3 linked regions of the Arabidopsis thaliana genome follow. The protein of the gene in region 2 interacts with the protein of the main gene of each other region in a pairwise test. Each region holds a gene or a part of one and is shown on either strand. Other genes may lie near its edges.

Region 1 (4,012 bases), on a different chromosome or scaffold from region 2:
GTACTCACAACAAAAGTCGAAGATAATGTTTTCTTATGTTCACCAAAAAACTTACAAAACTAACTCTCGAGAAAATCTAAATTTTCTTTTGAAGTGTGGTTTATATATGTATATATATTTTTATATTTTTTTGGAAAAGATTAATAATATTTAATCAGTATAGAAGTTCTGCTTAGACTCATTAATATTTAATATGTTAACTCATTATAAGTTTACAACTCAACTCATTGAATTGATGAAACCATTTGATCTAATAACTCATTTGGTTGTAAGCTTCTATAGTTATTCTTATATAAGTCTGAAAAAATATTATAGTTGTATTTTTGGATATCTAAGGAATTAAGAAAATTGATAATGTCTCACCTCTACGATAATTCCTTTTCATCTTTCCGTTTTGTTTTTGTATTATCGATTTATGTTCTTTAATTATTATTATTTTAAAAAAACTTCTCCAGTCATCTTTTTATTTATCAGTTACATTATCGTAAATATTCATGCTTCTTACATGAAAAAACGAAATATTTTAATGTGATCTCCACTAGTTCATGAAGAAAATGCAAAGTTATGACTTACTTTTATGGATTGGCTGCTTAAACAAAAAGTTACCAACAGACTTTGACTTTGACTTTGCGTAATGCAAAAATAACGGCAGCATGAAAAGAGGTTCCCTTCGCCTCATAATCTGCCTAAGTTACTGGTCAACAAGCACTACTATATATTTGTGTCATTTTCTTTTATTTGTGTTGTTTTTTATATATAGTAAATTATAAACATATTAATTATTCCTACTTTCCTTAGAAATGATGCATGGTGAAAAATTTAAAAATATTCATATACAAAAAAGAGAGGGAAAATAATATTATCAGTTCGATAAATATGTATTGGTTTTTATGAAAATAATAGTTTTATTCAAAATATTAGCTAAAAAGTACTCTCACACAGTTGGTTTGTTTCATAGTTATAGAATTTATTATGTGACACAAAAAGTTCAAAGAATATTAAAAATATTTGGAAATTATGCAAATAAACAAATATTTGTAATTATATTATTTACATAACACAATCTTATGATATTTATTTTAGAATATGTTTACATTATTTTATCCATATATATGTGTCAAATACGATATCATTTTTGGACATTTACATTTGTTGTAAATTAAATTGTATAGAGTTAATAAAAAAAATCAACAGATAATTTTGATTAAGGTTTGTGAATAATTTAGTCAATTCAATGCAAAATTCAAGATTTATTTGTCTAATCCACTAATTGAGAGTTTCTTTAGTCATAAATAAATAAATTGAAAATCTTCAAATCACGAAATATTTTTTAAAGATTTAATTTACAGAAAATCTCAAATCTCATTACAAAAAATCGTTAAAATCAAAATTTGCAACAACTAAAAAAATTCGATTATCAATTTTGTCATAATACTCATCTACAACTTTTGTCACTACATAATCAATTATTTTCTTGTCCAAAAAAAAAACATAATCAATGATTTTCTTAATGTAATTGTAATGATGAATTTTGATGCGGGTAAAGTAAAAACTAAATCTACTTACACAACTTCCTTTTTAAAAGTATTTATTTCAGATTTGAGATTTGTCAGATATTTTTCTCAACGTGAAAGAGAGAAAAGAGAATCTCTCAGAAGGTGAGCCTCCAACAAAGCGTGAATCTCTCTTTCTCTCTCTATCTCTCTATCTCCGAGATCGCATCACCGGAAATCTCCTTCTACGGTGGTGGTGGTGACAGTTGACCAGAGATGGCGGCGGAGAATGAGAGAAAATCTCCTTCAGCAGTCTCCGATATGGGAGCTTGGGCAATGAATGTGATAAGCTCCGTTGGAATCATCATGGCGAATAAACAACTTATGTCCTCTTCTGGATTCGCATTTAGTTTCGGTTCGTCTTCTTCCTCCGATCTCTCACTCTTTTTAATCAATTTCGCTTTTGAGATCTGATGATTTTTCCGATCTCTGTTTTCTCAGCTACAACTCTCACCGGTTTCCACTTCGCTTTAACCGCATTGGTCGGTATGGTATCAAACGCTACCGGATTCTCTGCTTCGAAGCATGTACCTATGTGGGAGCTTATTTGGTTCTCCATTGTCGCTAATGTCTCTATTGCTGCTATGAACTTCAGTCTCATGCTCAATTCCGTTGGCTTCTACCAAGTAATTCATCTCGATCTCGATCTTGAGCATATAGAATCAAATTGCTTTGATTTGAGCATATATAGACTTTGATTTTGGTTTAGTGGATTCACATTTTTTTGTGTTGATTAGATCTCGAAGCTGAGCATGATTCCTGTGGTATGTGTAATGGAATGGATTCTACATAGCAAGAGATACTCAAGAGAAGTGAAAATATCTGTTGTGGTTGTTGTTGTTGGTGTTGGTATTTGTACTGTGACTGATGTTAAAGTTAATGCCAAAGGTTTTATCTGTGCTTGTGTTGCGATTTTCTCGTCATCCTTGCAGCAAATTGTAAGTCTTTTTGTTTGGTGATTTGGTTTTGAAGCTTGTGGAATTCAAATCTGATCAATTGGTGTTTTTTCCTTCTGTGTTGCTTAGTTAATAGGTTCTCTACAGAAGAAATATTCAATTGGGTCCTTTGAGTTGTTGAGTAAAACAGCGCCGATTCAAGCTTTTTCGCTTCTTGTTGTCGGTCCTTTAGTTGATTATCTTCTTAGTGGGAAGTTCATTATGAAGTATAATATGTCTTCCGGTTGCTTTGTAAGTATCTCTCTTCATGGCTCTGCTAGTATTGTTATGTTATCATTGGCTAATGTTCTACAATTTGCAGCTATTCATTCTTCTCTCATGTGGTCTAGCTGTGTTCTGCAACATAAGCCAGTACCTTTGCATCGGGCGGTTTTCAGCAGTATCGTTCCAAGTTATTGGTCACATGAAAACCGTCTGTATCCTCACGCTTGGATGGCTCCTATTTGATTCTGCAATGACTTTCAAAAACGTAGCGGGGATGATTGTTGCGATTGTTGGGATGGTAATCTATAGTTGGGCAATGGAATTGGAGAAACAGTCGATTATTGCAGCAAAGGCTTTAAACAGTGTGAAACATAGCTTAACAGAGGAAGAGTTTGAACTTTTGAAGGAAGGTGTAGAAACTACACAATCAAAAGATGTTGAACTTGGCCGCACAAAAGATTAGAGACAGATGGATAGAGAAAGAAACATAGTCTTCAGGTACAATTTGTTCTGTTATAATTTTTGTATGTTTTGTGTTATCTAAACCAAGAGATCGGATCCTCGGAGATTAGTGTCTAGGCTTCGATCTAAAGTTTCCTTGGTTATACAAATGTTTTGTGTTATTTATATCTTTTTACCCAATTCCATGGAAATAACTTCAATGACCACATGTTCTTGTTTTACGTAGCACTCAAAGAGTATATTCCTTTATTTATCTTATAGAATATGACATCAAATGTAGAGTATATTCCATTTGATAAAACATTCATATGGATAGTGAAAACAAGAATACTGGAGAAGACTTAAAAGAACTTCTGATAAAAACATTCATATGCTCCCAAGTAATGTGAAAATTGTAAATGAGAAGGGGAAAAATGTTATTTAATACCTGAACTTTCAAAAAGTGGCCAAATTAACCGTGAATTTTTGAAATGGCCGTTTTATACCTCAACAAAAAGTTGACTTCTAATTTAACCTATAAGTTATCGTTGACCCGGCCAAATCGACTCACCATTAACACTTCTTAACAGCTCTCCTAACAGCGTAACTAACAACTGTTTTTGTCCTTAAACCAACAATAACGGCTGTTAGGCCATGTTTTGTAACGGCTGTTAGGAGCGCTGTTAAGGAGTGTTAACGGTGAGTCTATTTGGCCGGGTCAACGACAAATTATAGGTTAAATTAGAAGTCAACGATAAATTATAGGTTAAATTAGAAGTCAACTTTTTGTTGAGGTATAAAACGACCATTTCAAGAGTTCACGGTTAATTTGGCCATTTTTTGAAAGTTCAGGTATTA
Region 2 (4,589 bases):
TCTCTGTCTGGATCAACAACAAATCAATCACCATCGATTCTCGCGCAAATTAAATTAAATATAAATTTGATCGATTTCGAAAAACGAGAACTCGATTAACCCTAAATCGGAAATAATCTGACCTGTGGGCTGTGGAGTTGACAATCGGGTTATCAGAGAGAATCGTTCGAGCAGAGAGCCAAACCAATTCAATCCAGAGACTTTTTGTGTTTAGTCCTTTCGCACGCCTTTTCCCGTATATTACGTGCGACTTTTTTACCCTCCTTCAATTAATACATTACTCCAATTTTTATCTTCACAAATAAATTATTTTAATATTTTCATACATAAATGAGCTTTTGATTGGTTACAAATTCAGAACGATAGAATCATGAAAAATAATTTGATGATTTTTTTTAAGATTTCAACAACATTACTTTCGAATTTTACTACTCAATGAGAACGAGTGTTTTATTTTGTCACAGAAGTAAGAAGAATTTGAGTATTTGAACTGATTTTACAACAATTGAACAAAGACTAGAGTAACAATGGTGAAAAAGTTTCATTTCATGCATACGGGAAAGATATTAATATGAGTAGTGTTCTTTACTTCTTTTGATGAAAAGTGTAGTGGCTTTAACATTATTGTTCATATCATCTAAATTTTCAACTTTATTGTTTCTTTTTTCCCCAATCATGGAAACCAAAAGTTGTAAAGCAAAACCTTTAGATCTTTCTCCTCAACATAACAACATACAAGATCACCAAAGATTGGCTATAAAAATGGCTGGTTTAAAACCAGTCCATGTCCACTCTAACGCCCAAATCATTCGGTCTTTTTATCGAGTTTCTTCTTGGTCTCGCCGCTATAAGGACCAGCATGATAAGCGTGTTTCTGAACCGCAGCGAAGATAACCATCTCAAGACATACCAACACATTCTGAATTGCTTCTTGGATTTGTTCTACCTCCAACCAGAAATGGTGAGATTTTATGAATCCCATTGCCACCAGTATGTCTAGTGCTATTCCCTGCAGTTTCAGAATCAAAAGAATCTTATGAGTATATCCAAACATGAGAAATCTTGTTTTGAGGGGTTTACTGATTAATGCAAACATTACCTGCCAAAAGACAAAGAAGACAATTCCTTTGATGCAGAGGAACTTTGCGAGTGGATTATGAGGAGCAAGCTCCTTAGCAAACACATGGTAGAATATCACAAGAGAATACAAGGCCAGAGAAACCGAGAAATTGACAATGATAGTGAATGTCCAGCTCAACCATGAAGGATAAAACCCGATGAGCTGTAAAGCTATCATCAAAGTGGAGCACACGGGTCGAATGACCACAAATTGCCATGTCCAGTATTTCAAAAGTTTAAGAGTGTGACGATCCAAACGGACTACATGAGGCTGTCAAAACAATAGACACAAAGCTTTTAAGGGTAAAGAAGCAAATAGATATTAGATGAAATCATGCAATGAAGATAGAGACGAACCTGAAAAAGAGTCATTGGGAAAGAATGGTGAATCTCTCTTCCTTTGATTCCATCAGGCAAAATGTTTTTGCTCATAGATATGTTTAGATAACTATACATCAATGCCAAGAATTTGGCAATGACCTGCAAAATATCGAAAAAAATTGGTAAGTGTCGTCTCTACAATATGTTGTATACTAACACAAGCGATAAAACAATATACTCACAAGAGCTTCGTAGCATTCTTTGATGGATTCAAGAAAGAGGAAGAAGGTTTCACTTCCTTTGACTTCTAACAAACCAATAAAGGAAACAACGGCGTAGATAGGAGCCATAAGCACAATGATGAGTATAGCCTTTTGTTCCTTAGGGTTCTTCCAGTGGAAGAGATGCTGCGATACAAGCTGTATCGTGAAATGAAGTGTGAGCAAGACGGAAAACGCCGAGCAATAAAAAGTGATCTGTGGAGGCTTCAGTTTCGTTAGGTCCATCATTGTGTCCTGCATCAAAATTAATACACATAACTCTTTAGCATCAAGAAGCCATCAGACTTTGCACAAGAATTCTAATCAATCAAACATCTAAATCTTCACAAATGTTTCAGCATTATATTCAGCCAAATAGCTCCACATCAAAATTCACTCTTTAGCTTAACATTAATTTAAACTGTACAATGAAAAGCAAACATCTCATGAGATCTAGAAAGCTAAATGGTTGGAGCAATTAGATATCTCCGTATCAAAACAGAGTATATAACCGAATTAAAAACTCAAACTTTATAGATGACTGGGAAAACGGGTGATGAACTCGATAAACCCAATCAGACCCATTAATTTGAAAGGTCGAATTCTGATTTTGTCTATGTTCCCAAGACTGATTCAAAGCTAGATAAGCAAAATCTCTGTAAATCTGAACAAAGCAAAATTAGCTAACCAGAGAGAGAGAAAGAGAGGAACTAACCAGATAAGAGCTAGGGAAGAAGCGAAGATGAGACTCGGAGAGTGTGAAGAAAGTGAATCAGATCTCTTAGTAGTTAGATCATGAAGAATTGAGGGAGCATGAGACCGCCATTAATGGAGTCACAAACGTGGTCGTATTATAAAAATGGCGACGCGTTTACCACGTGAGAGAGACGCTACGATTGCATAAAAAGAAGTCGGCATTGGTATACATGTGTCTCTCTGATTCGTCCACACGGTTTTGTCGCATTTGTTGGAGAAAAGATAAGTCTTTTAAACAGAGGTCGGTATGGTATGTATTTGGTTTCAAGGATTCATGAAATTGATATATGATTGTGATGTAAGTTATTGATTTTTTCTTCATTCATTACACGTCATGGGCTGAGAGAAGAAATCAAAAGAGAGGATTTGTATCTTTGAGCCCAAAAAAAAAAGGCACCATCTTGGACCATTGGTTTGGTTGGACCAAATAATATAATGATGTGGTGAAAAGTTTTTTAGCGGTTATGAAAATCAAAATAAAAAAAAAAGGCGGTAAGAAAAATGGCAATGCAGTAGAAATGGTGGTTCAAAAATGGTTTTAGAAGTGAGATCATCTTTATGCTCATTTATCTTGGGTTTGTTCGGGCTCTAACACCATGTACAATTTTAATCATTTGAAAATAAGTGGAAAGATCTATACATTTCATATACTTTATATACTTATGTTGAATTAGCTCCACATCTTATTGGTAATGGTTTGACAGTTTGAATTATAGCAGAAATAAAAATAAATATATAGATTTAAGAAATATAATTGCTCCAAATGAATGACATATAGTTGAATGATTGGAAAAATAGGTGCAAATGGTTGCCTAAAATTAAGAAGTTGAAAGAGTTGAATGAGCATTTATCTATTTTTTTTACCATTTAAGATGAATAAGTTGGAAAAATGATTCAACCCTTTCAACTTAAAAAGTTGGAAAAATAAACTAATTATAAAGAAATTTTTTCAACTTGTATATCTTCTATTTCACAGAGAAATGAGTTGAATAATATTCAACTTTTATTTTTCAACTCAAAATTTCCAATTATTTCATCTCTATGCAACCATTTTCAGCAAAACCAAGTTGAACATTATTCAACTCATTCATCTACAAAAGAGTAGATGAAATGGTTGAACAAGTTTCTTTTATAATTTGTTCATTTTTCTTTTTTTTTTGTTGAATGAGTTGAATCAATTTTCCAACCTATTCATTTCAAATCGTAAAAATAAAATAAATAGTTATTCAACATTTTCAACCTTTTATTTTAAAACAACCAATTCATCTAAATAATTTTATTACTTTATAACAATCGCTTGTTGAGGAGATGACTTAATCACTTTTCATTTTCTCTTCGTGAATTCGTTTTACTAAGTTTCCGTTACTTTCAAATGTACTCAAAACAAAAAAAACAATCGCTTGTTACTATAATAAAAGATCGATGAAACAAGATTCTAATGTTAAGCATTTTGAAATGTTACGAAACCGTACAAACAATTTATGTGATTAACGTCAAATGCATAAAAACGCAAACACAAAAAATAGCAGTTAAATCTTATAAAGATATTTCATAAAATATTACACACTCATGAAAGGTCTTAAAAGCTTAATTAGTTCTCATTATCAAAGAAAAAAATAAAAGCTTAATTAGTTCTTACCGAAAAAAACAAAGCTTAATGTTGATGAGTGAACGAGTCTTTCCACGTCGTCCACACTGTCCTCGTCGTCCTCGTTGTCTACGTCGTCTTCGTGGTCCAGGTCGTCGTAATTGGAAGTGGCGAGAGAAAATCCGATTTGGCGGTGCCCAAAATCAAATATCGTATGATATCTCTGAGTAAAGGCATTCCAAGAATATTGTAAACAAATTAATATATAAATTTAATTGATAAGTAATTTACGAAACAAAACGTACTTAATGTGACGAAATGGAGAGATAGTCCTCCGAAGTGAAATAAAAAGCACATCGGGCAAATAATTTGCTACCGCTGCTGCCACTTTGGCATTTGTAAATATCATCCTTTCCATATGACTAGAAAATAGAAAACGAAAAGAGAAAGTATTAAGTTAACATAAAACAACAAATAATAATAAAATGTTGTAAATAAAACTTACACGTCTACCACAAATTTGAGAGTAATCTCTCGGGTAATGA
Region 3 (4,173 bases), 7.0 Mb from region 2:
CATTGAGTTGATAACACTAACGAATGTTTGAAGGCTCAATAAAAAAGTAAAACAAGAGAAGAACAAATAAAGGATAACGTTTTTCGTTTTCCAAGAAGAGAAGAAACAACAAAACCTTCCCGCCGATAATCGTAGTGGCCAAAACAAACGCCAATGGAAGCCTTGTTAAGGAAGACAAGGTTTACGGAGTGAAATGGTTTGAAGGAAGTGTTTATTACTCTCCCAGTGATGGTAAATGGGGAAGAACGAATAGGCCACATCTTTTGAGTTATTGTGTAGTTGAGGAATTGTTGTTATACGGTACCGATATGAGCTTCCGGTGAGTGTTTTGGCAAGAGTCTGAGGAATCAGAATGGAAGATAGTTAAAGGTTTGGAGGCTCTAAGAATATCAGTCAAGTGAACAGTTTTGGTGTGAACATTGTTCTCTTCTGGCTTGAGCGTAATGATGATGATGAGAGATTGGATGTTTGGTGTGCCGAGATTTCGTTCGAAAGGTGAGATTTGGGGTACAATTGAGTGGAAGGAAGCTGTCACCACAGTTGATCCTTCTCCCTTTGGTTCATTTGGTGGTGATCAGAATAAGGTTTTGTATTCTGCTACCGTCAATGTCTAAAACAGATCAAATACAGAACAAGGCAAAAGATTCACATGTGTAAAAATAGTAATCCTTTTCTCTTTGATGTTTTATATTCTGTGTCAGTTAATAAGATGAAAACCACAAAACTAACGTGATCCCTTTTGTTTGCTTCACAAGTTTTGGAATTATGTATTTTTGAATCAACAAGAACAGCCTCCACCACCACCTGCTCCTCCTTGTTGCTCACCTTGTGATGAATTTGAAGTGGTCTTTAGATTCACATCAACCATGTCATCTGATTTTGTTGCCAATGAATATGAGTCTACCCCGGGTAAAGCTGCAGCAATCTTCCGGAACAAAGCCTGCAAATTGAAGAGATTTGGTGTGTTTAGAAATCAGACAACAAGAAACACTCAAATGAACATCACTCCATACTCTTTGTTGAAGTTTTGTCATACCTTAATGTTGAAGTTTTCTTTGGCACTGGTCTCAATGAACATCACTCCATACTCTTTACCCTTGTCTTCTCCTTCACTGATTGATACTTGCCTGTTTTTCATTATATCAAGATTGACATATATAAGACAAGAGAGAATTATATAGTCCATCCCATCCAATTCTTTGCTTAATGTTTGTATTTACCGTTTTTCAACAAGATCAGTTTTGTTTCCAACAAGAACGATGATAACATTGCTTTGACCTCTTTCTCTGTGAACATCCTCAATCCATTTCGAGGTATTCAGAAACGTTTGCCTATCTGCAACACAAAGTATTGATTGAACACATAAGAACACAAAAAAGAAGGTGAATCAAAGAGAGAAACAAAGGTGGACTTACTGGATACATCGTATACAACAATGGCAACAGAAGAATCTCTGATGTAACTTGGGATTAGACTCCTGAATCTTTCTTGTCCAGCAGTATCCCTTTCAATCAAAACTTGTTTTGTTATTGCTTTTGAAATTAACATGTTAGTTTTTAGGTAAAGAGCAAAAGTAACATTGTTCTCACCATAGCTGCAAACGAACTGTTCGATCTTCGAGGTACATTGTTTTCGATAGAAAATCGATTCCAATGGTAGGCTGCAGAGAGTCAGAGAGAACACAAATAAAGGCTTAATGACTAACTAAGAAAGCAAAGAAGCAACAGTGCTTAGCATCATCGATCTTGATCATAATAAGAAGAAGAGATTGATAAATCAACCAAAAAAACAGAGAGCAGAGTGATCAAACAAATGCATTGAAGAAAAACCAGAGTGATATCAGCGACGTAATCTAGGACCAATATGAGATGAAATCGTCTGAACAATCGTAATATAGGAAATAATGAATCAGATCAAACAATAAAAAAACGAAAACAAAAGAAACTTGTTGTCGCAGAGAAGAATTTAAATGAATAAACAAAACAAGTGAAAGGAATCTGTGTAAATACCTGGTACGTGGTGTCGAATTTGTCATACATGAAACGAGTGATGATGCTGGTTTTTCCGACAGATTGGTCTCCTAAGAACACCAGTTTAAACTTTGCCAAAGGTGAAACCGAAGCCATATGTTCCGTTCCGTTGGAAGAAGAAGGAAAAAAAGAAAAAGTGTGATTCAAAGATCAGAAGAATCAGAGTCTCGTCTTTCTTAGGTCTCGACGATGAAGAAGAAGGAGAGCACGACGACGATGACTCGGTCGCACACAAACTTGACAACCTTCACAAAATCGCCACGCGCCCAAATATATTCAACGATTTCCGCGGAGACTTTATATAAGAAGCGCGTCGATGCGGTTGGGTGTATCTGTGTTTAAAAAAAATAATATTTTTTAATGATGAATGTTTTCTAAAATTTCTATGATCAAAGTCTTCTTCATTAATCTTTTAAATCGTTATTTGATTAATTAAAACCTAAACCAAAAAAAGACCTTTAAGCCAAACAAATTTTTGTTAGTTTGTGAAGATACTAGGTGAGTAGTAGCCTAGTTGTAATCTGTAATGAATACCAAAATCTGAACTAACAATTATTTTAACAATTATTTAGTAAACACCAAGCTACTAGTCCACAAAGTGATGAGATTTTTGGGATGATCAGAGATGACTATATTTATTGGCTAATGTAGTGATTTGTCACAATTTTATCATACGTTTTGCATCTGCGTAATGTGATCGAACATTTGAACATAAGCCCCAAATCCACAAACAATAAGACTAATAAGAGGTTTCTCAAAACTTGAACAGACAAACAAAGCACCATCACCAGAGTTAATCCCCTTAAGCATTCTTATAGATTGCAATTAAGAAAAAAAGCTTTAGAACTCGGGAGCAGCAAATATCATATAGCTAATCAGAGATCACTAAGAGAAAGATTACAAACAATTGGAAACATCTTGATTCAGATTTATTAGCCAAATCTCAGAAACACTGAGAGCTTCAATGATTCAGATTCTCAATACACAAACCTCAAGTAATAGAAACAACAAAATCAATAATCCGATAGCTAAAGAAACACAAACCCCAGATCATAATCTGCTCATAAACCCTACTTACCAACAAATCTCATGTTGCTCCATGGAAACTTGGCCGTCCCCGCCGCCGCAGCACCACCTCTCGTCGGAGAGTTAGCCCTTTCACCACCTCGACGACCTTTACCTTTACCATAACCACCAATCTCCCTCTTCTCCTTACGATCAAGCCAATGACTCTTCTTATCATCTTCTTCCTCAACAAAGCTAGATCCTTTCACTTTACTCTTCCTATCTTCCTCGATATACTTCACCGGAAACAAATCCCTAGAAATCGACAATGGACTACGTAGCGTGACGTAAGCCTTCTTGTAATCAGCTTTCGCTATCAACAAACCACCACGCTTCTTCTTCTTCCCATCCATGTTTAAAGTATTCACCTTCTCCACATCGAATCCGTAGAGCGACTCCAGGACTCGCTTGATCTCGATCTTGGACGCGGAAGGAATCGTTTTCAACGCGAATTCGTGAATGTTGGTCAGCTTCGCAGGCATCAGAAGCTTAATCGGAAGATTCGCGAAATGAACCACTCGTCCTCCCAATCTACTCCCCATTTTCAAATCGGAGCTGAGCTTTTAGGTCAGAAATGAAAAGCAGTAGCAAGGGTTTTTCTTCTTTGATTCTTCCCCACTAAAATTAATCCCTCTTCACACACACATATGCTTTAATGGGCCTTAATGGGCCGAATGAGCCTAATAGGTGGTTTTATTTTGTTATTTCAAAATCATCATTACAAGTGAGAGAGAGTAACATATATGTGATTTTAGCCAAGTTACAAGACAACAAGATTTCTTTTACTACAGATTTATACAACAACAACAACAACAACAACAAAAAGACGAATCTCAGTTGAATTCATTTGGGTTTTCTTTATAATGATCATGACCATCTGCAAAGACCAGGCTCCATTGTTTTGCTGTGAGCTAGAATCTCATCATACTTTGAGCCATACACAAATCCCCATAGCTGCAACAATCAATCAACCAATGGTGTGTTTGTTTGCTTGTTTCAGTTAAAAGGTGTTGCAAAATATTGAAATATAAAGCTTTTATTTTTCAAGGAGAGGGATGAAATTTAACTACCTCCACTT

Evidence for each region. The genes of interacting proteins can lie anywhere in the genome.
Region 1: the proteins of AT4G21570 (region 2) and AT5G42420 interact in a protein complementation assay, tested with the Arabidopsis thaliana proteins (one large-scale study listed by BioGRID).
Region 3: the proteins of AT4G21570 (region 2) and RABH1c interact in a protein complementation assay, tested with the Arabidopsis thaliana proteins (one large-scale study listed by BioGRID).

Annotation. Positions count from the first base shown.
Region 1 is NC_003076.8:16,967,050-16,971,061, forward strand, and holds AT5G42420 (Nucleotide-sugar transporter family protein), read left to right. Parts: upstream 1-1,605; 5' UTR 1,606-1,769; coding exon 1,770-1,908; intron 1,909-1,994; coding exon 1,995-2,179; intron 2,180-2,290; coding exon 2,291-2,491; intron 2,492-2,578; coding exon 2,579-2,740; intron 2,741-2,810; coding exon 2,811-3,176; 3' UTR 3,177-3,478; downstream 3,479-4,012. UniProt on the Arabidopsis thaliana protein: Nucleotide-sugar transporter that transports UDP-rhamnose or UDP-galactose and UMP in a strict counter-exchange mode.
Region 2 is NC_003075.7:11,470,321-11,474,909, forward strand, and holds AT4G21570 (organic solute transporter ostalpha protein (DUF300)), read right to left. Parts: upstream 2,702-4,589; 5' UTR 2,416-2,701; intron 1,956-2,415; 5' UTR 1,950-1,955; coding exon 1,683-1,949; intron 1,600-1,682; coding exon 1,477-1,599; intron 1,391-1,476; coding exon 806-1,390; 3' UTR 515-805; downstream 1-514.
Region 3 is NC_003075.7:18,504,065-18,508,237, reverse strand, and holds RABH1c (RAB GTPase homolog H1C), read right to left. Parts: upstream 2,320-4,173; 5' UTR 2,127-2,319; coding exon 2,010-2,126; intron 1,661-2,009; coding exon 1,590-1,660; intron 1,505-1,589; coding exon 1,416-1,504; intron 1,336-1,415; coding exon 1,221-1,335; intron 1,128-1,220; coding exon 1,037-1,127; intron 941-1,036; coding exon 779-940; 3' UTR 535-778; downstream 1-534. Other genes in the region: AT4G39880 (Ribosomal protein L23/L15e family protein), read right to left, coding at 3,101-3,637; AT4G39870 (TLD-domain containing nucleolar protein), read right to left, coding at 3,963-4,049, 4,166-4,173. UniProt on the Arabidopsis thaliana protein: Protein transport. Regulator of membrane traffic from the Golgi apparatus towards the endoplasmic reticulum (ER).